Linked DNA regions of Drosophila melanogaster. The protein of the gene in region 1 purifies or fractionates together with the protein of each later gene. This does not show direct contact. Each region holds a gene or a part of one and is shown in the gene's direction. Other genes may lie near its edges. The genes, in order: Bacc, CG8036, Snx3 and GstO3.

Region 1 (7,814 bases):
GATACACATGCTAGCTGAAGCGTCTGGCTATCGATTGTGTTTGCATTGAGATTTGTTCGCACCTTTATGCTACAGCAAATTAATGACGCAACAACGTGTAAGTGCACTGGGAGAAATTCCTGAGGCAGGTCAGTAACGACAACGGTCGGGGAAAAATCCCTTGCGTTAGTTTCGTGTTCGAAAGGGCCATAAAATTTCCGAATCGACAGATGTTTGGGTTCCGGGAAGCAGGACCATCCATCCATTTCTGCCTGCTTGAGATCCTACCTACCCGGTGGTTGCCTGCATTTGAAACCGTTGTCTAACCTTGAAGTAACTACGGTCGTACCAACCAAGCCGATAACTCGAGAAATTGGCACAGGTTGTCCTCAGGAATCTAGATACCATTGTTCAACACCGAGAGGTGGTCTCACAAGCCCGATGAGCACGACTATTCGTATCGCGAGAGACCCACCAATCTTGGGCCGACGAGCGTCAAGCCACTCGAACGGATACTGAGAGTTCGGCGGACGGAAAGTGAGACAGTGACAGCCAGAGAAGAACGGTAGGCGGCCCATGGAAGCACAGCGAAATGGAGACGCAAATCGGCTTATCAGGCAGCGATGTTCAGGCAAAAAGTCATCGCTGCTCCTCAAATATGTGATAACTGAGTGGACGACGGGCCACGATTACAGGTGTTTACGTTCACCATGCCGCCTCGGTTGGGATGCCGCGGAACATGTTCGCCGGTTTTAATTAGCGATCCGCCTGTCGACAGTCGTCCGCTCGCTCTGTCGTCGACCGTATTATTCAGATTACCAGATATATAGCCTAGGTATTCGTATTTGCCATTGCTTTCGCACGAAAATAGCTGAAAGCGTGAGAGGCTGTCCAATCGAAACTCGACTGTTGGATACCCGGCAAACGATAGTTATTACCCTTTCGTCGATAGGCTACTGGAAATAGCACCAAGAACCTTATGTCTTCCGGTCGAATTCCTCTAGTATTACTTTATGGGTTGTTATTCCGCTCGTTAATGTGCACATTTTGAATGAACTTGAAGATCAACCTCGCAGTGATTGTCCCACTGATAACACAGATTTATAGAGAAGAGCCAGTACAACTCGAGCACGTTGACTACCAGGTGATATGGGCGATATGTTATAGCCTACTCGGCAGTTCCAGTTTCCCATATATTGGGCGATTCCTGAACCCACTGGGTTCGTGCGGCGAACGAAGCCATCACCATCAAATGGTCGAACCACAAGTGCGGGATCAACAGAAAGATTGGCACATGAAAAAAGAGTCAAGGGTGGACCCAATTCGACGAGTGATAGGCATTGGCATTTAAGTCGAAGTCTTTGGTGGGGCCATTAGGACTTAAGGATGTTTAATATTTCTGGAAATTGCCGATTTCGAAAACTAACCCTTAAATGTTTTCGAATCTTATGGGGTTGCAAATTGCTGTTTTCTTGCTATTTCTCCAGTTCTCTAATTCTAGTTTTAAGACGCATAATCCCGGAATAGAGCATTTCCCCGATTGCGTGCATCTAAATAGTTAGAATCTCAAAAATAGCTGCCCGCTTTCCTGGTCCGCGAAAATCACCTGCTTCCCCACACGTTACCAATCAATTGACCCCAATCCGCGACGACATTGCGTCCCACGCTGGTCCACTCTATAAATACGAATACCGTGCTGAATACAACACACAGCACACACATCTGCATCTGCGGCAACAATGCTGCAACACTTCTTCCCATCGGCAACATCCACATCCACTGTTCTGCTCTGTTCTGTTCTGTTCCACCGACGAACGGTCAGAACGCCACAGAGTGACTGCACCACACACACCACACACCACCATCGCCGCTACCAACCCCCAGACCCCGCCCCCAGGCCCACAAGCGCACCACTGGCGCGCGCAATTTTCAAATTTACCGCCAAACGCGCCCACAACCGTACTCACGGAACCCAAGCAGATTTTGTATGGAATTAATCAGGAAACCCACTCAACTTGTCATTTGCGGATCTAGTTTTGATCGCAGCGCCTCGGGAAAAAGCCCAAAATTAAGCGGATACTACCAGCTATAGCCTCGATCAGTCTCTGAACCGATCCGAACAAAGGTATTCAAGTTATAGGCAAAAATGTCTGCAACCGATTTGGCGCAAGAAGAAGCAAGCGGCAATTTCTAGCCATCGAACGGACGGCAAGCTCAGTCTTGTACGAACCGTCGACGGGAGCACATATCGGTGGTTAGCAAACCAAAGGAAAACGGATATTCCATACATCAGTGGGGCCTACGAGTAAATCCTTTTGCCTGCCGTAGCGCCGCCTGATATATGGCACCTCCTAAAGCCTTACTATATAGATACTATATTATCAGAAAATCACCGCAAAATAATATACCAAAAATCCAACGATCGCTCTGCTCTGGGCTGTTGTTGTTGTCTTATCGACTGCGGCTGTACAAATGCCGCGGCGATTTTTTGAGTGTATTGTATGGGCCAATGGCGTGGGAGAGAGAGAGCGAGTGAGCGTCGTAACGATTTCGGGGAGAGCGAAAAAGAGAGCAGCGAGAGCGTTTAAAGAAAGTTACTCTCTCCTCGAGAGGCAGTGCTTAAATAGACGGCCCGCAGCTGAATCGCATTCAGTGTGTTTGTGTGCTTCGTTCGGTGCGGTTCTCTCTGTCTCTCTCTCGCCTTCCCCGAGTATTTTGCGCTGGTTTTTTGTCAACAACAAGACAATCCACAAAACCAACCCGAATTGTTCTCTATATAACGCAGAAACTAAATAGTTCCGGAAAACCTCAAAGAAACCAATTCAAATATGTCGGCTGCTACGGAACAACAGAACAACGGCGATGTGGCCGTGGAGAAGGTGGCGGCAGATGATGTGTCTGCTGTCAAGGACGATCTCAAGGCGAAGGCGGCCGCCGAGGATAAGGCCGCTGCTGCCGATGCCGCCGGCGACGCGGCCGACAACGGTACGTCAAAGGACGGCGAGGATGCCGCCGATGCCGCCGCCGCTGCCCCCGCAAAGGAATCCGTGAAAGGCACCAAGAGGCCAGCAGAAGTGAGTACTGATCTATGTGACTAGGTAGTTGTTTACGCGGTAAAACCAAAAGGAGGCCCCTCTAATGATTCACTCCAAGCCAATATGCCAGTAGCATAGCATTGTTCGAGGAAAAATTCTAGAAATAGATATACACACGTTTTTCGGAACAGCGCACTCTCCCAATGGCTTACATATGCCCCCAAAAGAGAGAGCGTATAGCTGGCTCGGTTGTGCGTTTGTGTTGTTTACGATTAACCAAGATGATTGCGGGTCCGGCAATCAAAGATTATTGTTGTTAGGTTCAAATCGAGGTTAGGAGGGCCGCCGTGCTTATATAGGCGGGGAGTACAGTTAGCCAGGGCCTTTTCTTTGGTGGGGTGGGTAATGTGTTTTTAATAAACCCATAGGTCATTAGCATTGACGTGTCCGCTGAACAGCGTTACCCAGCAATAGATACATTGTGGCATTACGTCTATAACTCATACGCTTGGCCTTATTTATCAGTCGCTGTGGCTACGGGAATTGCAAATGCAAACGCAAACGCAATTCAGCGCGATGCCAATGCACTCTCTCAATGAAAACACACATTGCCGGCCGGTAAATTACTCATGTCATGTTTGGCCACTTTATTTTTGGTTAGTATCGCCAAGAGCACGCGGTATTCGAACAAGTTTTGGGGGCCTGAAGCAGTCGCATTCCATAATCGAGTAGCACATTTCTTGATAAAAATAAAATAGTTCGGCCAGTAAGGCAGATAAATTGGCAAATCAAGCGCTTTTCTCAGACTCAAACTCGAAATAAAAATGTACAGTTTAACGGGAGCGTTCTCTCGCTCTCTCTCTCTCTCCCCGGAGAAAGATAGATACAAATAGAGAGCGCTGCTAACTCTCTCCCTCGTAATTTGTATACACACCGTTTTGTCTGTTTGCGTATGTGCTTACATTTATCTTTCACTTTTTTTTCTGCTCTGCCTTATGCGTATTTATTTTAGTACATAAAACAAGACGGCTAAACAGGGTGTCGCAAAAGTTAGTTGGGTTTCTTCGGGATTCAATTGAATAATGATCATTATCCCATGATCATGAATTAGTTGAGATACGTTTGGCACGGATAATTCTTAGTGGTACAGTAACGAATTGTATAGATTTCAAGAATAGTTTTGAAAATTATTCGTTGGTTTCCATATCTTTCGATTCCAAACAACAGATTAGCTTTTGTCCCTATAAATGTATCTTCACGCTTAGAAAACACAAACTAAAACCTCTAACTAAATCAAGATACATTGATTACCCAGTTATAACACCAGTAATAGTAGGCTTAGTTCTTGCCAATACAGATACACCCTGTTCGTCTTAATCCTCTATTGGCCTTTTCTCGAGTTCTGGGTCTCGTGACTTATGCTGTAAGCGAAGTGAAAAAGGGGGGCGATGGGTGGCCATTAATTTTGCACATTTTTCCACAGTCCGATTGTTTTTCGCTTCTTCCGCTTTGTAACAGTCTGGTAAATAGGGCCCTTGTGTTGCGGCTTCTCTTCGACTTGGGAACGTGACCGCCTATATACTGCCATAAACCATATACCATTATGTGTATCTTGTTGTTGGTTGGTCAGCGGCAAAAGTTAAACCCACGCATGTTGTTGTTTTGCGCCTTTTTCGCTGCCGACGTCGCTGCAGCAGCTGTCGTTCGGATGGCTGTGAGTGAGAGCGAGAGATTCATTCATGCAGTTCAGGTACAGTTTACAGTGCTGCGGATTCAGATGCTCTCTCTCTGGCGCTCTCGCCCGCTCTCTATCTTACAGGGCACGCTTCGTTTCGTATCTCACGGATGCGGATACATATGTCGCTGCCGGCGTCGCTGCTTATTGTTTTTTTTTCCTTCCCCCTTATGTAGTAAATATGTCGCCTTGTACATACGGAGCACAGATGTAATGTAGCGCGGTTGCACTTGTAATCCACTCTCTCACGTACTCTCTCTCCCGCTGTCTCTTTTTGCCGCAGCGAATTACATTGGCGCGCGCATTTTTCAAATGTTTTTTTACGGCGAAAATAACGATTTTCGTCGCTGCTTGTTTTGTGTGCTGAAAATATACATTTTATGACTATGTACACACGCACAGGAAGTTGAGAGGGGTATTGGATGCCCTTGATCAAGGAGATGTGTGGGTTTGAGTTGGGCGCGTAGGACCATTTCGCTCCGTAATTCTCCCTAATATCCTTTAGTTTGTTTCTCAGATTAATATCAAAAATGCATAATTAATAGTGACGGGCCCCTTATTTCTGTTCAATAAACTTGCTTGTAATACAGTAAATCATCAGCGGAACAAAAACCAAAGGAACTCTACTAACTTCTCTTTTTTCGCTTCCAGGCCAAATCCGCAGAATCAAAGAAGGCCAAGAAGGCCGCGGCCGCCGATGGAGATTCCGATGAGGAAGAGGCTCTGGAGGAAATCATCGAGGGCGACAGTGAAATCGAGAGCGACGAGTACGACATCCCCTACGATGGTGAGGAGGATGACATTGAATGTGATGGTGAGTTCACGGAAGCACTTCCCTTTTCCACATCAATCTAATCCCCGGATTTTCCCTTTCCCTTACCCGCGCAGATGATGATGATGATAATGATGACGGTTCCGGCTCGGACGATCAGGCGTAATAATAATGTAGTCAAAAATACAAACAAAAACAAACAAAAATTTAAATTAATAATAAATAAAAGTTACAAGCAAAAACAAAACAAAAAAAATATAATAATAAACCAACAAGCAGAAAATAAACCACAACAAGGAGAAAATGAGGAGGAGGAGGAGAAAAAAACCACAAAAAAATCGCAAAAGTATATAATTTTTATGTTTAAGAAATAATTTTTTATTTCTTACCTTATTTTAATTGTATTTTATGTGTACTTTTTTTATAAAAAACTACAAAACAAACAAAAATTGTAATTGAAGGCATTTTCGTATAAACGCAACCTATACGGAATCCAACAAAAAGTAAACATCCCCACTATATACAAGAACAAAACAAAACCAAAATCTTTCTTTCCTTTATCTCATAAGTCCTAATTTAAACGCCCAGTTGATGCGTAAACCAAGATATACAAAGATTTCAAATGTAGCGTAAACGAAGCCCGCGAATTAAACACAGATACACTACACTCACACACACACACGATATTCAAATTCATTATTAAATTAGACGTTACATTTGTGAATGAATGATCGATCGAAAGAAGCAAAAATACAAAAGTGAACATTTGAAAATGAACATGATTATGAACATGAAAAAGAAACAGCAAATGCAATTAAATACAAAACAAATAAAACATAAAAATTGTATTTAAATAAATCGCAAAAATCATTGAAACCCCATACTCGACAAGCATTCAATGACACTCAAGTTTTAGCTATGGTTTCAAAAATTTCGCGCCCATTGTGGCCACAGTCACCCGAATTTCCCAAACCCAAGGCACTGGGACTTAGTTGGTCTTCGCTTTTGGGGCAAATACAAAAAAAAAAAACAAAAAAAAATGAAAGGAAAACATCGGGAAGTTTGAGTTCTAACCTTCTGTTTCGTTTCAGCATTTAACTATAAACTATGACTAATCTTAAGTACTTATGTCAGTATTAAAGCGAGGGCTTTATTATTCTGTTGATAAGTTGTGCGAGCGAGTCGTTGATAAGCCTAATTCATTTGTAAATTGTAAAAACCAACTCGAGAATCGAAAAACGAGCAAGAAAATAAACTTTTAATGTTACATGTATCTAATTAGTAAGGGCATCCAAACTATTTATACACACACCCCGTACGACGAGTTCTCAATATAAACATATAACGACTGATATTTCAAAACGAATCGTGCCCAGCTGGTCAATCACGGCACTCGACACCGAAACCACCCAACCACCACCATCCTCGAATCTAAACGATTTGTCCCGGAAAGACAGACCAGCCCAACATACACACACAATCCACCCACTGACCCAGATCCAAACTCCAAGAGGCTTAAAGCTGGTAATGCCAACCAGCAACTGAATAATTGAGTGCAATTAAACCAATATGCCCAAGATAAATCATCCGATTTGATAACTGATAAACAATAGCGATATCACAGACAATGTTAAAGAACTATGCATTTTTGTAAATACCAATTACTCATGTATCTGCTCCGTGCGAGAATAACATCTAGTAGCGCGAAAGGGCAAAAAGAGAAAAGAACCACGAATCGAAAACGAGAATAAGAAACAATTTTGAACGATGAAATAAATTATTGTAATTACGTAAAAGCGAAAACCGTACGTACATACCACCCATTTGGCATCTGTTCCGATGCCAATAAAAGTTTGTTTCAATTGCAGTTGGCCATTTTGGGTGGGGCAATCACCTCGCTTCGGTGTTCCCAGGGGTAGTAGTTCTTAGCCAGGAGCATGTACGTATGTAGGTACATAATTCATAGATTGGCCGCCCCTACATTACTCCGATCCATCCCTTCCATATCCCAGTTTTCGTTCGGGGGTTGACGAGCTGGTTCCCACAATCCTCCCTATGAAAGAAATCATATACTAAGGGATGATGGAAAAATTCAATCGGAAATTTCCTTTGATTAAGTACCTTTTTCGGATTGAAAATCGATTAGCCTTAGCAGATGCCTATTAAAAAAACGAATGATGAAATTCCGGGCTCTTCGTTGGGCAAATGAAGTTGAGCTACTTTTATATTCAAATTCAAATATAAGCGCAAAAATTTCTAAAAGTTTAAGAGCTTTTAAGTTTCATAAGCCATT
Region 2 (7,806 bases), on another chromosome or scaffold:
TCAGACGACTCTGAACGAACGGTGACGGAAGTGCCGACGGGGGAAATTCGTGGCGCCTCCGTGGAGTCCAACACCAGCAGCAATTGTGATTATCCTGCAGGCAACGTGCGCATAGATTGCGAGGACGGTCGAGTGTTCCATGCAGCCCATGTGATATGCACCATACCGCTAGGCGTACTGAAAAACACCCATCGCACTCTCTTCGATCCTGTGCTGCCGCAGTACAAACAGGAGTCCATCGAGAATCTCATGTTCGGCACCGTGGACAAGATCTTCTTGGAGTACGAGCGACCATTCCTCAGTGCCGATATATCAGAGATTATGCTATTGTGGGACGACGATAAGCGGGATATGAACAGCTCCGAGGAGGAGCTGGCCAGCGAAGCGTATCTCAGCAAGAATTGGTTCAAGAAGATATATTCGTTTGCCAAGGTGACGGACACGCTGCTCTTGGGCTGGGTCTCGGGCCGGGAGGCGGAGTACATGGAGAAGCTCGACCATGAGGCAGTGGCTGAAAAGTGTACGGAAATACTTAGGAACTTTCTGCAGGATCCTTACGTGCCCAAGCCAAAGCGATGTGTTTGGTAAGGCAAAGAAACATTATTTGGTTAAGAATGTTGTATATTAAAGAAAAATCTATTTGTAGTACCAGTTGGAAGTCGCAGGACTTCACCGGTGGCGCATACACCTCAATACCGGTGGGCGCAACTCAGGAGGACATCGAGAACCTCGCCCAGCCCCTCTATGCCACGCCCCAAGCCATGAAGGTCAGTTCTACAAGCTTGCTTCCCCGGCAATTGTTCACATTTTAATATATTTCCCCAGCCCGCCATAGTCTTTGCCGGAGAGCACACCCATTCCAGTTTCTACTCTACCGTACACGGCGCCTATTTGAGCGGACGGACGGCAGCGCAGCATTTGCTGGCGAGCGATGAGCCAGACGAAATCATCATGGAGTCGGACGGCAGTGATCTGAGCGCCTGGATACAGGGCATTGCCCTGGACTGAGTCTAAGCTAATCAACGACCACTCATCGATTTTGTATTATAATTTATTAACGTTATTTTGTACACTCTTTAAACGCTTTTTAGCTAGTGATATTTAATTTGTTCGATTGTAATTTATTTTGCTAGCGTCGTAAAACGATTTAACTCATTTTTGTACATCCCTTGTGAGCATTTGTTTTATTTTGTTGATGCAATTATTTTGTAATTTATTTGGAACCCGCTTGTACATTACTATAAATAAAAGTTACGAATTAGCTGAGCTGATCAATGTGCTGCCAACTCGAACAGACCGTGCACCCGCAGCAGCTTTCACTGTACTTGGACGAAAAAGTGTGCACAAAGACATAATGTTGTTTAGACCTAATTACCGATTAGCAACCATAAGTGTATGAATACAAATATATTGCCTATTTTTATAAATTCGTATTTAACGTAGAAAAGGTTGCACCAAAAGGTTGACACTAAGACGATCGAACAATGAGTGCAACTAATGTATATTTGAAAGTAACTATTGTTAACGTTAACTATTTTGCTAACTAAATTATGCATTGGTTGACTCTTTAAGGCGGAAAAGGAAAAGTTGGTATTCATAAGTCCGTTCTAACACTTGGATCTGCATATTTATTTGTATTTGTGACAAAAATATCGACTTGTACGCATAAATAAATAAATTAAATAAATAAATTATTGAATGAAAATGTATAATTTTAAATAGTAAAACACAAGTCGAAGAAAGTTTTGATTTTTTAACGATGGGGAGAGATCTGTATTATAAAAATCAAGTTGTGCTTTTGGTTTTAGGCCAACAAAAGTCTATAATTCAAAACATATGTAGATATCCTAAATTATTTGAAAGTCTTTCGCATTGCACTCGTAAATTTTTTGTGGATACATTTACTCGAACTTAGCTAAGGTGTGGTAAAAAAGCTAATAAGGATAAGGTAGGTGGAAATGAAAAGGATTGACTAAGCTGAATTCAAGAATGCATTAAAAATGGCTTGTAAAAAATTCGACAAAAAATCCTTCGAGCCGGATTTGAACCAGCGACCTATGGATTTCTATTGCATGTTTTCCAACTACAGTCCACCGCTCTACCAACTGAGCTATCGAAGGGGGCGTGCTGGGGAGTAGGTTAAACAACGGGTATCCGATTCATCGCGACTCTTCAATAAACTTTTGTTGGTAATCGGTTTAATTAATGCGTATTTTAGCTTTTAATGGATTGAGGTCACGGACAGCATATGCCATGTCGTTCAAATACCTTTTCTTTTGATTGTTGCTAAGCTAAAATTAAATAATATATTGATGTACGCGTAAAGTAAGACATGTTCATTTTCACGTGTTTTTAAAATTGATATTCTTCAAATTATTATTCATTTTATATAACATTGTGTTTATAAAATGTCTTTTGCATCTACATGTTTATAATTGCATACTATTTTATATATTTTTTATGGGGTACGGGTGCTACTATAAAAACAAAAACGAATTGGATATTACAAAAAATTACAAAAAATCCTTCGAGCCGGATTTGAACCAGCGACCTATGGATTTCTATTGCATAATTTTCCAACTACAGTCCACCGCTCTACCAACTGAGCTATCGAAGGTTGAGTTCAAACTTGGCCGTTGTTCGTTTTATGCATGCGCACAAACGAAATGCACCGTATTTGGTTATTTATTTTTGATTTTTACTTATTTAGGTCAAACAAAATTGATCAACTTTCTCTATTCAGTCCATTGCAGTAAGCCTATAGTTTCCAAGCCTAATAGCCTAGGCGCTTTTCACAAACTATATCAATTTAGTTACGGTTTATTTCTTCCAAATAAAATCCTTCTTATATTATTTAGTTTAAACAGCTCAGTTATATTCTGAATGTCTGTAGATGAATTAAATTGATTTAAATTGTGCACTACAAAATATATAAAAAAAAAGGTATGTGCACTACAAAATATATAAAAAAAAGGTATTTATATCTTTTCGATCCTTCGAGCCGGATTTGAACCAGCGACCTATGGATTTCTATTGCATGTTTTTCCAACTACAGTCCACCGCTCTACCAACTGAGCTATCGAAGGTTAAATTCGCTTGCGGCTAATTCACCTTTTGTTCAGGAGCGAGGTGGGGAAAGTGACAAAAAGAGAGGGCACTTCTCTTAAACACCGCTGCTCTTTAATACTCGCGGCCAGAAAAATAGGACCTTAAATTCTTGTAAACTTATATTAAATACTAAAGCATTGTAAATCTTAATGAGAAAATATTCAGGTACAACTGTTCATGGCTTAATTTTAGACCAAAATTGTGCATGAATTTAGAAAGGCAGCAATGCACTATTTGAAACTAACTAGTTACCCACCCACAGCTGTGCACCGATAAAGGGGTGGTGTGCGAGCAAAGATGCCATATTTATACATATATCCATCTCGTTCCAGCGCCGACGATAGACGATACCGATACTTTGCGAGTCCGCTCCCAAGATTGAGCCCCCACAGCGTAAAAGCGACCGAAGTGCCGGCGACGAGAGCAGTTCGTTCCCAGAAGCCGGCAGCAGTGGTCCGTTGATAACTCCGACTCGAGCTACTTATCCACCACGTCGATACTCTTGTCTGTCTATTGCAAACATAGAGGAGTCACCCTTTGGCTAACGAATCCGAAACTCCCGAGTTTTGTTGTGCAACATATCAAAAACCGCATTTGTTCGGATCCAATTTACATTCGCATTTCAAAGATGTCGTACCACAAGCCCGAAGCTAAGACCGTCCAGGATCTGAAAGATCTGGCCCAGAAACTGCGAATTCACTCTATCAACGCCACCCAGGCCTCCAAATCGGGGTAAGTTTATCAATAACTGAAAGTCCATAGGCATATTAAAGTGTGCGTATTTAGATTTGTTTGTGTAGATGTGAATTTTAAAAGTTGTGCACCTTGCACTTGTTGCTTCAAAGGTGACCCCCTCCATTTCCAGGGTGGGTGCGAAAAAGTTTTTGAGGGGGCTGCTAAATACATACATACATATGTATGTGTTTTGAAACATTACAAAAGAAAATAAAACAAAAATAGTTACGCATATACATAGTTATGCATCTATGTTTGTATGAATGTGAGAAGTAAAATATGGGAAGACCGGTTCCTTTAGTGACCCCTCCTGGGATTCAGTTGCCAACCCACGTGTTGTCCAGTAGCTTTAGTGAATTTGCGAATTTGTTGCCCTGCCTGCGTGCTCAGTGATAAGCCGCGTTCACCTACCTTAAATTGTGAGCTAATATTTTTTGACCTTAGACAACCTTGAAACGTTAGGTTTTTCTTACTGCCTTTTAATTTCTTTTGCTTTTGTTTTGTGCGTGGCGTTCAAAACGCCGAAAGCACATACATATGTACATGGGGTAAAAACAAACATACTTACATATCAAACAGAGGCATTTAATATACGTATGTACATATGTACATACAAGTGTTGGAAAGCACAGCTTGTGACGGGAGTGGAATTGGAAAGAGAGGGATGAGAATAGTAATGGAATGATCCCCTACACTTGAGATTTACGACTGTATGGCTTTTAATGTAATTATATCTCGGATAGACGCGATCAAATTATTACTGCAACAGTAAATAAAAAAGTTACTATGCTGATAAGGAAAACACTTTTATCGCCTCCATTAGTTTTTCCATTCTGTTTCGTTTTTTTTTTTTTTTGTGACGGTTCAAGATAAGATCTGCTCTGTTTGCTCTAAATGTGACCTCTGCCGACGAGATAAGCCCGGTTTGGTTACTCATTGACCACGATATGACCGATTAGAGGTGACCAGCTCAAGTGTGTTCCCCGCATGATAATCGAAAATCACTGAAAACTGATAAAAAAAAAAAAAGCGCGCCGGGTCACTGCTAACACTCCGTATCACCTTCAATAGTTCTTGATATGGCTGCAGGAAACGGGGACGCACTTCGGAACTATCTAGAAGCACGTGCGTTCACAAAGATCGCCATGCAACACAATCGTGGAAGCCAAGAATTTGGTTTTTAAGGCTATTATTTAGGTTTTTTGGTGATCAGAAAAGTTCAAGGTCCCAGAAACCGGTGAGGAATTGCGATGGACTCACGTCGCGACAAACACACATATCACACCATATAACGCCAATAAATACATATGCATGTACTCGTTATAGTTTATTTATATGTCTGGGGTAAGACGAGCCCCCCATTTTGTCTGGGGTTGCGTGTTTTCTTTGCGGTTGGAGTTGTGCCAGATCTGCGATTCAAAGCAATTTTTTTTGGAACACGATCGCATGGGAACATTGAATTCCAAGAATGGATCTTATCTTATTTATATGTACATTGCAATTGGATACTCGAGAAATCTTCATTTGAAATATGAACAGAGGGGGGGGGGGGGGTTTAAATAAAAGCTTCAATAGACAAATGGATTTCTTTTATTAAACAACGTTTTTAACAAGTATGCACAGTGTTCAGTTCCACTTTTCCTTTGTTGATCGGCCTTCACTTACCCACCGTGAGGTCGACTTCTATAATTCATTAGGCACTTACCTTAACCTAGAACTACATGCAAACGAAATGCCTTGTCACAATCTAATATTTTGCCTACTTTTCCCTCTTTATAGCCATCCCACATCATGTGCCTCGATCGCTGAGATCATGTCCGTGCTGTTCTTCCAGCAGCTGCGCCTGAACCTGAAGCACCCACGCGATCCCTCCAGCGATCGCTTCATCCTGTCCAAAGGACACGCTGCTCCCATTCTGTATGCCGCCTGGGCTGAGGCTGGTCTCTTCCCCATCGCGGATCTGAACAACCTGCGCAAGATCGACAGCGATCTGGAGGGTCACCCGACGCCTCGTCTGAACTTCATCGATGTGGGCACTGGATCCCTGGGACAGGGTGTCGCCGTCGGCGCTGGCATGGCCTATGTGGGCAAGAACTTCGACAAGGCCGACTACCGCACCTACGTGGTGGTGGGTGATGGTGAGTCCGCCGAGGGTTCCATCTGGGAGTCGCTGCACTTTGCCGGCCACTATAAACTGGACAACCTTTGCGTGATCTTTGATGTGAACCGCTTGGGCCAGTCGGAGGCCACCTCCCTGCAGCATAAGCTGGATGTTTACCGTGATCGTCTGGAGGCCTTCGGCTTTAATGCCGTCGTTGTCGATGGTCATGATGTCGAGGAATTGAGCAAGGCTTTCCATTGTGCTGCAATCACCAAGAACAAGCCCACCGCCATCATTGCAAAGACGTTCAAGGGCAGGGACTTCCCCAACATCGAGGATTTGGACAACTGGCACGGCAAGCCACTGGGCGACAAGGCCGCCGAAGTGGTGAAGCATCTGGAGGGACTGATTGTCAACAAGAACGTCAAGCTGACCCCTAAGCCGGTGCCCAAGACTGGTGCTGCTCCCGACGTGGACATCAACAACATTAAGTTGAGCTCGCCACCCGCCTACAAGCTGGGTGATTCCATTGCCACCCGTTTGGCCTATGGAACAGCTCTGGCCAAGATTGGCCAGAACAACCTGCGTGTTGTTGCCCTAGACGGAGACACCAAGAACTCAACTTTCTCCGACAAGCTGAAGAACCTCGACCCGCAGCGCTACATTGAGTGCTTCATCGCTGAGCAGAATCTTGTGGGAGTGGCCGTTGGAGCCGCCTGCCGTCGCCGCACTGTGGCCTTTGTGTCCACCTTTGCCACCTTCTTCACCCGTGCCTTCGATCAGATCCGTATGGGCGCCATCTCGCAGACGAACGTTAACTTTGTGGGCTCCCACTGCGGCTGCAGTATCGGTGAGGATGGTCCTTCGCAGATGGGTCTGGAGGACATTGCCATGTTCCGCACCATTCCGGGCAGCACCATCTTCTATCCCTCCGATGCAGTGAGCACGGAGCGTGCCGTCGAACTGGCCGCCAACACCAAGGGTGTCTGCTTCATCCGTACGTCCCGTCCCAACACCTGTGTGATCTACGACAACGAGGAACCCTTCACCATTGGCCGCGGCAAGGTGGTGCGCCAAAAGAGCTCCGACGAGGTGCTTCTGATCGGAGCTGGAATCACTTTGTACGAGTGCCTGGCTGCCGCCGATCAGCTGGAGAAGAACTGCATCACCGTCCGTGTGATCGATCCGTTCACCGTGAAGCCATTGGACGCCGAGCTGATCATCGAGCACGGCAAGCAGTGCGGAGGACGCGTAGTCGTCGTGGAGGATCACTACCAGTAAGTGTTCTTTGTAGTCTTTTTATTTGCCTCCTTTGCTAACTTGAAATTTACTTAATTTCTTATAGGCAAGGAGGCCTGGGTGAAGCTGTGCTGAGTGCCCTGGCTGGCGAGCGCAACTTCGTTGTCAAGCACTTGTACGTGCCCACCGTGCCACGTTCGGGTCCTCCGTCGGTACTCATCGATATGTTCGGCATCTCCGCACGTCACGTCGTCAACGCCGTTAACGAGATCCTCAAGGATTAGGGGACCAGTCGTGATCTGGCTACATTCATTTACCGCCTACAGGAATTCCCCCAGTTACTACTTACTTCCAATATTACCATTCCCTCTAAGATTGTTAATTGCTTCATTGATTTGAACCTTACATCATGGAAATAAAATATCTTTAATAAAAATAGTTAAGCCGAACTATATACCTTATTTACATATTATATTACTTATTTACTATATTACTTATTACATGTTAAGCATGCCTTTAAAATGGCTGGACGATTTCATTGCGTTTGCCTTTGGTTTGCTTTAGACTTGCTTTGGTTTGTTTTTAGTTTGCTGTGGTTTTGCTTTGGTTTATCTCTGGATTTG
Region 3 (4,771 bases), on another chromosome or scaffold:
TTAAACTATAGAAAACAACAGATATGCGGATCCTTTCTTTATCAGCTCATCGATATCAGAAAACTTAAAGCTCAGAAAAGTTGCTTCATTAGTTTATATTATATTCATGTCTTATTAAATTAATATTGTCAAACCCAAAACTACTTCTTAATTGTTGCAATGTCCATGAGGTCATTAATTAAATCACTGAAGTGACCATAAAAATTGGGATCTTTTTTTAAAAAAAATTACAATTAAGTTGTTTTTATAGATGTCATTGGAAATAATATACTAAAAGGGCAGCTCAATATTTGTTTCTCTTTTAATCACTTTTTTTTCAATAAAAACGAAGTTTTAATAATTTTACTTTGTAGCACATTGCTTTCTTCGTCTTCCAATTAGATAAAGTTCCAACAAAAACACGAGTCGCGCAATGCTCACATGAAAGTCGGAATCTGATAAGAAAGCAAACGTCAAAAGAAAAGTGTAGGCGCGAGGGGGGTGTTGACTGGGAGGCTAAATTATGTCAGCTGACTGTCCAACTGGTTTTTAGCCCTTGCCACGAGCTGCAGTTGGAATCTTATGGGAATTAGATAGGAAAAAGGGATTGAAATATGCAGCGAAGATAAATATATAAATTGCATTAAAAGACAAGCCTACACTGACTGGCTGCATAAAACAATGCAACTATATTTTTATCTACAATGGCTACTAATTTGACACATGAATACAGCCAACATAAAAAACATTGAAATTCTCTCTATCGACCGAACCGATCAATCGTCAGTTATGCCACCCACCCCGTTCGCAGTCAGGTGCCTTTAAGTGTGTGCGTTCAGCTTTGAATGGCAAACGCAAACAGCTGAGCAGCGAACGGTCATGTGACGGCGAAAATTTTCAATAAGCGTTAACCATGATTATGGGCTGCTCCCCATTACGATCTGATCAGCGTAGAACATTTAAAGCTCTATATGAAATATTATTCTATAGGTTTCATTCTGTTACGTTGTTAATTGTGTGTTTTTGTGGGTGTCGCAAGAATTTATTGATTTTTTCTCTACTTCGCCTCACACCAGATTCGTGCAAACTGTCATGGCGGACTTTCTTGGCATTTTCTTATTGGGTTTTTTTTTTCGGTCACTTGATTGGGTTGCGAATGCATTTCTTGATATTTCACTTATTTGCAAATTCCGTGGATTACTCACTCAAGCGGGGCTGGGAGATAAAGTCCCGGGAGACGGCGAGGACATGTTCCCGCTGGGCTTGTTGGGCGTTCATCTTGGATAGACTTTTTCTGCGCCTCTACCTTGAAAGTGCACTGCAAATTTCGAGCTGCAATTAGATACGATTTTAGCTTTTAGCCACTATTCGGACGTGGTCTTTTACAAGCACATACAATTTTTCAGCTACGAAACAGTACTGAGCGACACACACGCAAAATTTTGGCCTGCGAAGTCGTTGCGAGTACGATGAAAAATTGCCCTGGAACTGAAAGTATTGCTGAATGTGAATCTGCTGTGACGTCACGTGCCGTCACATGACCCGTCACGCGTTAGGAACTTTCCGTTTCGCGCGCTTTACAACACTAATTGTTAGTGTTGCCATTTAGTGGAGTTCCACACCGCAGCAGGGCTGCCACATTGCCATATGGTATCAAATGAACCGGTGACGAAATCGGTATGGCAGCTACGCACTCACAAGTCTGTTTACCTACACTGGAGTTAGCAGTGTTTTTCACCCACAGAGAGCTGCCATATCGCCGTATGTTATCGATAAATTTGGAAGCATTGATTTGTACCACCCCTACTGTTAACTCACACAGCACAGTTCTGTTAATTATTGGAAAGTTTTTTAATGGAACAAATTTAATTAAATTACAAAAGTTGTTTACCCGCTGCGGCACTTGGACACCCAGAAAGTAAAACAAAGCAGTGCTCGGGGACAGCAATTGAATAGTACCAGAATCCGGGACATCGGAGGCAGCGAGCCGCGACAAAGAAGTGCACAAAGAGAGATAGCCAGTGCAAAACCCGTTTCTTCCAACCGATAAAAGGGGCGTCTATAGCTCTGCCGATCCGGAGCCCCTGGCATTGCACCACTATGATGGTTGAGTCCGATGGAACCGCCGACGCCACCCGCCGCCTAAACGTGAAGAAGCAAACACTGGACGATGCGTACGCCGTGCCCGCCAACTTCCTGGAGATCGACGTGGTCAATCCGCTGACCACCATGGCGGCGGGCAAGAAGCGCTACACGGACTACGAGGTCCGGATGCGGGTGAGTGATCGTAGTACATGTACATGGGGGCACCACCTATGCACCTTCCAAAATTCACCGAAAAAACCATTGATAATCGCTGGAATTCGCTCACACACTTGTGTGCATGTGTTCGTGCGACTTTGTCTCGCTGTGCATGTGTGTGTGCGTGCGTGTGTGTGTGTGTGTGTGTGTGTGAGTGCGGGTGATACGCCTATAAAGCGAGCCGGCCGATAAACATTAGTCACAAGTGCAGAGCACTGATTCCAGTGTCACGGCTTGAGTCACGGAAATGCGGCATGCGGGTGCCTTTATGCGGCACCGACCTTTCATTGAATTACTCTATAAGATTGGCCACCACATATGATTAACCATCGCTCCTTTTTTAGACCAATCTGCCCGTCTTTAAGGTAAAGGAGTCCAGTGTCAGGCGACGCTACAGCGACTTTGAGTGGCTGCGAAACGAGCTGGAGCGGGATAGCAAGGTACGGACAAGTGTGATCCAGGCGGTAGTCTTTCGTTTTCACTTTAATAGATTCAAAATCCGCACTATTCAGAATCTATTTAGATAGAATTACGAAACAATACATTGTAATTATAAGAAGCCACTAGAAAAGTTTCAATCCTTAAGAGGAAACTTAACCCTGAGTTTTATAAGTGAAAACGGAAACTTCGATAAGCGCCTGAAGAGTATTTAATCATGAACATACATATCCCCGCAGATTGTGGTGCCACCACTCCCAGGAAAGGCATGGAAGCGGCAGATGCCCTTCCGCGGCGACGAGGGCATCTTTGACGAAAGCTTCATCGAGGAGCGGCGCAAGGGACTGGAGGCCTTCATCAACAAGATAGCCGGACATCCGCTGGCGCAGAACGAGCGCTGCCTGCATATGTTCCTGCAGGAGAATGTCATAGATAAGAACTACGTGCCCGGCAAGATTCGGAACACATAAGCAGCTTAGTCCGGCGCAATCGAAACCCCCTAACCATAGCAATGCAATGAAGCAAAAACTCGAACGAACAAACCTGCTACGAAATCTTTATGGGAAGCCGTGTGAATGTGTGTGCTTGCCCGGATTGGAGGAGGATGGAGCAGATGAGCGATGATGTAGGTTGGTGGAGAAGGGATCTGTTATGCGACGCGATACGAGGCGGGAAGTGCTGCTGCTCAGTTAATGTTGAGCCCCTCTCAGCCCCCGGGGATTAGTTAAAAACCAGCATTGGGAATTTTTAATGCTAAATTCAAGTTTATATGGTATACATAACAATATACATACACATATATATATATTATACACAATACACATATTTACGAATAGTGTACATAAGACATGCCTACTACGCCCTCGCTAAATGAGTCTCGAAAGTAGGAGCTGCCCCTCCCATTTTCCCGATCCTCAGTTTCTTCGTTTTGAACCATTGCAGCGGTAATGAAGCAGCAAATAAAATAAGGGAGCCATCCTGACCCCAAAATCGATCCCTTGTAAGTGTATGCAAATTATTGAATATTTTGAAACAGTTTAGTGAATAATATTGTACTTCGAATCAAATTAAAATAATTCAAAAATATTGAACTGCTGATATTATTTGAATGTGCTTGAAAATGATGCGCAACTGAAGATTAAGTTGAGTTTTGTATAAAATATTAGCCTTTTTCCTAGCCAATTCTGCGGGATGGAAGTTTGTTCTTCAACTGGTCGATGTTGAATCTATGTAGTTCCCATCATATAAACCAGGCGAGGATTAATAACAATATGATGAAACAGGAAACTTCGATTGAATGCAAGGATAATTACAGTTGGGTGGGTAGGTGGATCAAAAATTGTAAACGATAAATGGATATTTTATTATTCTAAATATTATATATCATCACAAACAAAAGTCTCAGTTGAAATAAAGGTATAGGTTTCGCGCGCTGCAAATCTAGACTAGTGATGTGCTGCCACCTATCGACAGCAAAATGCCAATTTGACCATTGTAAAGTTAAAATTTTATATAGAATATATTTTAATTTGTTCATATTAACAATTTAATTTTTAATTAATAAATTAACAAGAAATTTAACAAGTTGTTTAATGTTAAGAATTAACTTATTTATTAATAAGGTTAACCGCTTTAGTTACGGTTAAAAGTGGCAACGCTGTGCTTGTTGATTCTGGCAACGCTGTGTCATCTGTGGATTGGTTCGGTTTTTTTGTTTTTATTTATTTTTGGCATGGACTCGGCGGAATCCCCCACCAAAACGCAGGCCGGCGAGGACGAGAACTACAGTCTGCTGTGCCAGGCGCACGAGCAGTTCAACAAGTGAGTGTTCATCCGCGTGTCACCGGGAAGTGCACCCATAACCGCCACTCCTTTCCGGCTGCTCCTCATTCTAGCTCGGAGTTTGATCGCTGCTTGGAACTGCTCCAGGAGTTGGAGACGCGCGGCGAGAGCAGTGGTCCTGTCCTGCGGCACAACCGGGCGGTGGTCAGCTACTACAAAACCGGGTGCACCCAACACTCCGTCCTGCTGAAAGAACTGGAGGCTCTAACCG
Region 4 (3,762 bases), on another chromosome or scaffold:
CCTATGTGCCAAAGAAACGACGTCGCGTTTCGGTGAGTACTTGGACAGCAACTCATCCCTTTAATAAATCCAAATCTACTGAAGTATGATTTTAACTCGTAGTGATGATCGGTTACCAATATCTATTGGATGTATTAAAACCAGATTATATATTGTGTTTTTCAGCAACAGGAGAACAATATGGATCACGATCACGTAACTCTGCTCTGCGATTTGTGTTCCACGTAAGTGTTTGGAGTTATAGAAGCAAAATATATACTAACTCCCTTTCCCATGTGCAGATCCTTTGATACGCCGGCGGAGTGGGTGCGCCACATGAACAGCCAGCACACGGAGATCGAGTTGGCCATGTTCAACAGCAAGAAGGATGGCGAGCAGAAGGGGTGTGTGTCCTAAGGGCTAGCAAAAGCACACTGATGAACTCTGTTCACTTGCAGCCAGCAGCCACCGCCACCGCCGGCGACCAGCAGCTCTTCCACAGTGTCCAACAGCCAAATGCAGCCAAAGTATCCCAGCTCCACCGCCACCAGATCGACGCACTCCCTCATGCTGCACAAGATGAGCAACAGCGATGCAGTGGCCACAACCACATCTCCTGGAGCATCCACCTCACCGAATGGCTAAGGCCAGCCATAGGGATCAACTTCAAAGAACCATTGGACCATTGGCGAATGAAGCTGAAGGATTCGAAACCGGATGCCCATGGATAAATTTGAAAACAGCCATATTCTTCATTCATTTTCAAAAATCTCAAGTCGTTCCAATAATCAAAAGTGAGATGGATGTTTATATGCAACAGCAAGAACCGTGATCAAAATGCAACCAGTTTGCATATTTTATAGAGCAACAAACAAAATACAAATTGCGAACAAAAAAAAATTAACGAAACTATAAACGAAACTTAGAATGGAAATCGTCAGGCAACGATGCAAAACAAGACAAAGCAAGAAATTCAGAAACGAAAGCAAAGCAACATTTAACTCCAGTGTGTAGAATTTTTTTAAGTGTACGTATTTACTTAGTTTTAGCTATTTATCCCATGTATTTACCGTAACAACAACGCGCAATTGATTCGGGAAAAAAAACGATACAGTTTAATCATTAAATTTTAATGTTTACCATTTGCGGACATTTTTAAAATGAATTAAAAACTAAAAATTAATCATCCACTTGAGTTTTCAAAAGGATGCATCAAAAGAAATCCCATTTGTAGGACCAAAAGCAGCGAAAGGATCTTTTTACATTTTGATAAACAATTAATTCCAGCAGCAAGTGTAGTTGTCATTATTTATTACTTTCCAATTTGGTTTTTCGAATGCAATTACTGATAACAACTATTTATCGCGACTCAATGATGTCAGCAACTCTGTTGTATATGTATTAATACTTTTTTGTATTTTTTGTAAGGCATGAACGGAAATTTCGAGAACTTTTTTGTACATAGATTAAGTTTGATTTCGAAAGTCCGCCGATCGAAACTTTTTACGAAAAGTTCATAAACTTAAAACTCTAAATGTACGTAGTAGTTCCGAGGTTCAATTAAAAACAAAAATAAAGCTCCCCCCAAACCATGTAAAAACAAAATATATCTATATTTACAAACAGGCGTGATTATTAACAAACTAAGTAGATGTACTATGTATAATGCGGAGGAAATGATTGTCTCTTCCCACAAAACAAATCGCAAATGTAGTAAAGCGTTTTAAATCGAAATAAACGTCTGCGATGAGAAATCGTTTTTAAAAGCTAACGAAAACTAAGAGTCACGTCGCAAAAAGCTCGATTATTCTTATTCGCGTTAAAACACAAACAAAAAACTTTATATAAACAGAGCGCCGTCGAAGAGAAAACTCAGTTCGCATTTCACCGTCGACATTTCAACAGTTAAGCGAATTTGTTCAGTTCTGCAATTAAACAAAATGAGTTCTGGTAAACATTTGGCCAAAGGTAAGAGAGCAAGCAAAACCAGTTGTCGCCGCCGCCAAGAGAAACGCCCATGTCATTAGAGTGTTTATAGTATTATTTATAAAACAAGTTCTCCAACATTCAGCGTAATTATCGAATAACGATTTTTATATTTCATAATGTTAAAGAATATTGGCATGAATAACTGGGATTTTTTGGTTAAAAAGTTAGAAAGGTATATTATTTGGTAAATTTCAATACGATCTTTATTCTTTTACAATTGTAGGTAATGCATTAAATTAATTATTTGATTTGTAAAATTTACTTACATTTTTAGCTATAGCTTTCACCCCGATATCAGATAACCCATAATATTTACACTCTAAAAGATAACGTAGCTACAAAATTTGAGCTTTATCACGACTGGGCCCTATCAACATTAACTTAAGTGCAATGACTTGCTAAACAAATAATAATACAGGGGTGGATTTTAGGGTTCCACAAGTGACTCATGAAGTTATTGATTTATTTGTATAACCTAAATTTAACTGGTAAATAAATTCTATCTTTAGGTTCCCCCAAGCCTGTACTCCCTGACGATGGAGTCCTTCGCCTGTACTCCATGAGGTTCTGTCCCTACGCTCAGCGGGCTCATCTCGTCCTGAACGCCAAGAATGTGCCCTATCACAGTGTCTACATCAATCTCACCGAGAAACCAGAGTGGCTGGTGGAAGTGAGTCCGTTGCTTAAGGTGCCTGCCCTGCAGCTGGTGGCGGAGAAGGGTGAGCCCTCGCTCATCGAGTCGCTGATTATTGCCGAGTATCTGGACGATAAGTACCCGGAGAATCCGTTGCTGCCCAAGGACCCATTGAAGCGGGCACAGGACAAGATTCTGCTGGAACGTTTCAGCAGCATCACCAGTGCCTTCATAAACATCCTTGTGCAGGGCACCGGTCTGGAGGATTACTGGACGGCACTTGATATCTTTGAGGAGGAGTTGACCAAGCGGGGCACCCCATATTTTGGCGGCAACAAGCCGGGATTCGTGGACTACATGATCTGGCCCTGGTTCGAACGCCTCTCTGTAATCGAGTTGAAGTTGCAGAAGGAGTACAACTTCAACGAGAGTCGTTTCCCGAAGATCACCAAGTGGATTGCCCTCCTGAAGGCGGACTCGGTGGTGCAGTCCTTCTATGCCACTCCCGAGCAGCACAACGAGTTCTGGCGCACCCGCAAGGCCGGCAATGCAAACTACGATCTGCTGGCTTAGATCGGTACTGAAAATGAAACTATTATATAACAAAGGAGATTTAATAATGTTCTAAAAACAATAAAAACTAAAATATTTTATGTGACAAAGAAATGAATTAAGGCTAGAAAGGCAAGAATTCCGTTCCAGATTCACAGAACGTGGTTCGAAAAACTTAGTTCTTAAAAAGTTTTGTTTTAAACAAATATTTTGGAGCAATATGCAGGTTGCAAGGGGGCTTCACTGTATCCACATGGCTTGGTATGTGTGTCAGCCGCAAGCCACCAAGTTCAGCCGCGTAAGCGAAGCCAACCGGCGAAGGGCAGTGAGCTGCACTTTATAAATCACTCGAATGACAATCGCTATCACCACTTGCATCTCTGGACCCGAGCACGCACATCATGAGTAACGGCAGGCATTTGGCAAAAGGTGGGTAGAGCCAGGAAACCAGGATAATCATAATTGATAATAAATGCGCCCACTAGGCTCACCCATGCCGGATGTTCCCGAAGATGGTATCCTTCGCCTGTACTCGATGCGCTTCTGCCCATTTGCCCAACGGGTGCATCTGGTCCTGGACGCCAAGCAGATCCCGTATCACAGCATCT

Evidence for each region.
Region 2: the proteins of Bacc (region 1) and CG8036 purify together in Drosophila melanogaster (affinity purification with mass spectrometry, with the first as the bait; one large-scale study listed by BioGRID). This does not show direct contact.
Region 3: the proteins of Bacc (region 1) and Snx3 purify together in Drosophila melanogaster (affinity purification with mass spectrometry, with the first as the bait; one large-scale study listed by BioGRID). This does not show direct contact.
Region 4: the proteins of Bacc (region 1) and GstO3 purify together in Drosophila melanogaster (affinity purification with mass spectrometry, with the first as the bait; one large-scale study listed by BioGRID). This does not show direct contact.

Annotation. Positions count from the first base shown.
Region 1 is NT_033779.5:2,750,608-2,758,421, forward strand, and holds Bacc (bacchus), read left to right. Parts: upstream 1-1,837; 5' UTR 1,838-2,233; intron 2,234-2,387; exon of another isoform or gene 2,388-2,461; intron 2,462-2,625; exon of another isoform or gene 2,626-2,764; 5' UTR 2,765-2,807; coding exon 2,808-3,053; intron 3,054-5,400; coding exon 5,401-5,563; intron 5,564-5,637; coding exon 5,638-5,687; 3' UTR 5,688-7,313; downstream 7,314-7,814. UniProt on the Drosophila melanogaster protein: Negatively regulates tyramine beta-hydroxylase tbh and thus the conversion of tyramine (TA) to octopamine (OA).
Region 2 is NT_033777.3:8,666,089-8,673,894, forward strand, and holds CG8036 (uncharacterized protein), read left to right. Parts: upstream 1-1,779; 5' UTR 1,780-1,948; intron 1,949-2,027; exon of another isoform or gene 2,028-2,120; intron 2,121-2,523; exon of another isoform or gene 2,524-2,617; intron 2,618-2,992; exon of another isoform or gene 2,993-3,086; intron 3,087-3,440; 5' UTR 3,441-3,736; coding exon 3,737-3,840; intron 3,841-4,411; exon of another isoform or gene 4,412-4,817; intron 4,818-5,622; coding exon 5,623-7,221; intron 7,222-7,289; coding exon 7,290-7,467; 3' UTR 7,468-7,614; downstream 7,615-7,806. Other genes in the region: CG8032 (uncharacterized protein), read left to right, coding at 1-584, 647-767, 826-1,008.
Region 3 is NT_033777.3:12,626,265-12,631,035, forward strand, and holds Snx3 (sorting nexin 3), read left to right. Parts: upstream 1-1,766; 5' UTR 1,767-2,079; coding exon 2,080-2,256; intron 2,257-2,624; coding exon 2,625-2,720; intron 2,721-2,957; coding exon 2,958-3,188; 3' UTR 3,189-4,231; downstream 4,232-4,771. Other genes in the region: Vha55 (vacuolar H[+]-ATPase 55kD subunit), read right to left, coding at 1,185-1,257; Not10 (CCR4-NOT transcription complex subunit 10), read left to right, coding at 4,451-4,539, 4,614-4,771.
Region 4 is NT_037436.4:8,517,035-8,520,796, forward strand, and holds GstO3 (glutathione S transferase O3), read left to right. Parts: upstream 1-1,850; 5' UTR 1,851-1,919; coding exon 1,920-1,947; intron 1,948-2,477; coding exon 2,478-3,175; 3' UTR 3,176-3,261; downstream 3,262-3,762. Other genes in the region: CG6765 (uncharacterized protein), read left to right, coding at 1-32, 166-224, 282-383, 438-624; se (sepia), read left to right, coding at 3,556-3,583, 3,640-3,762.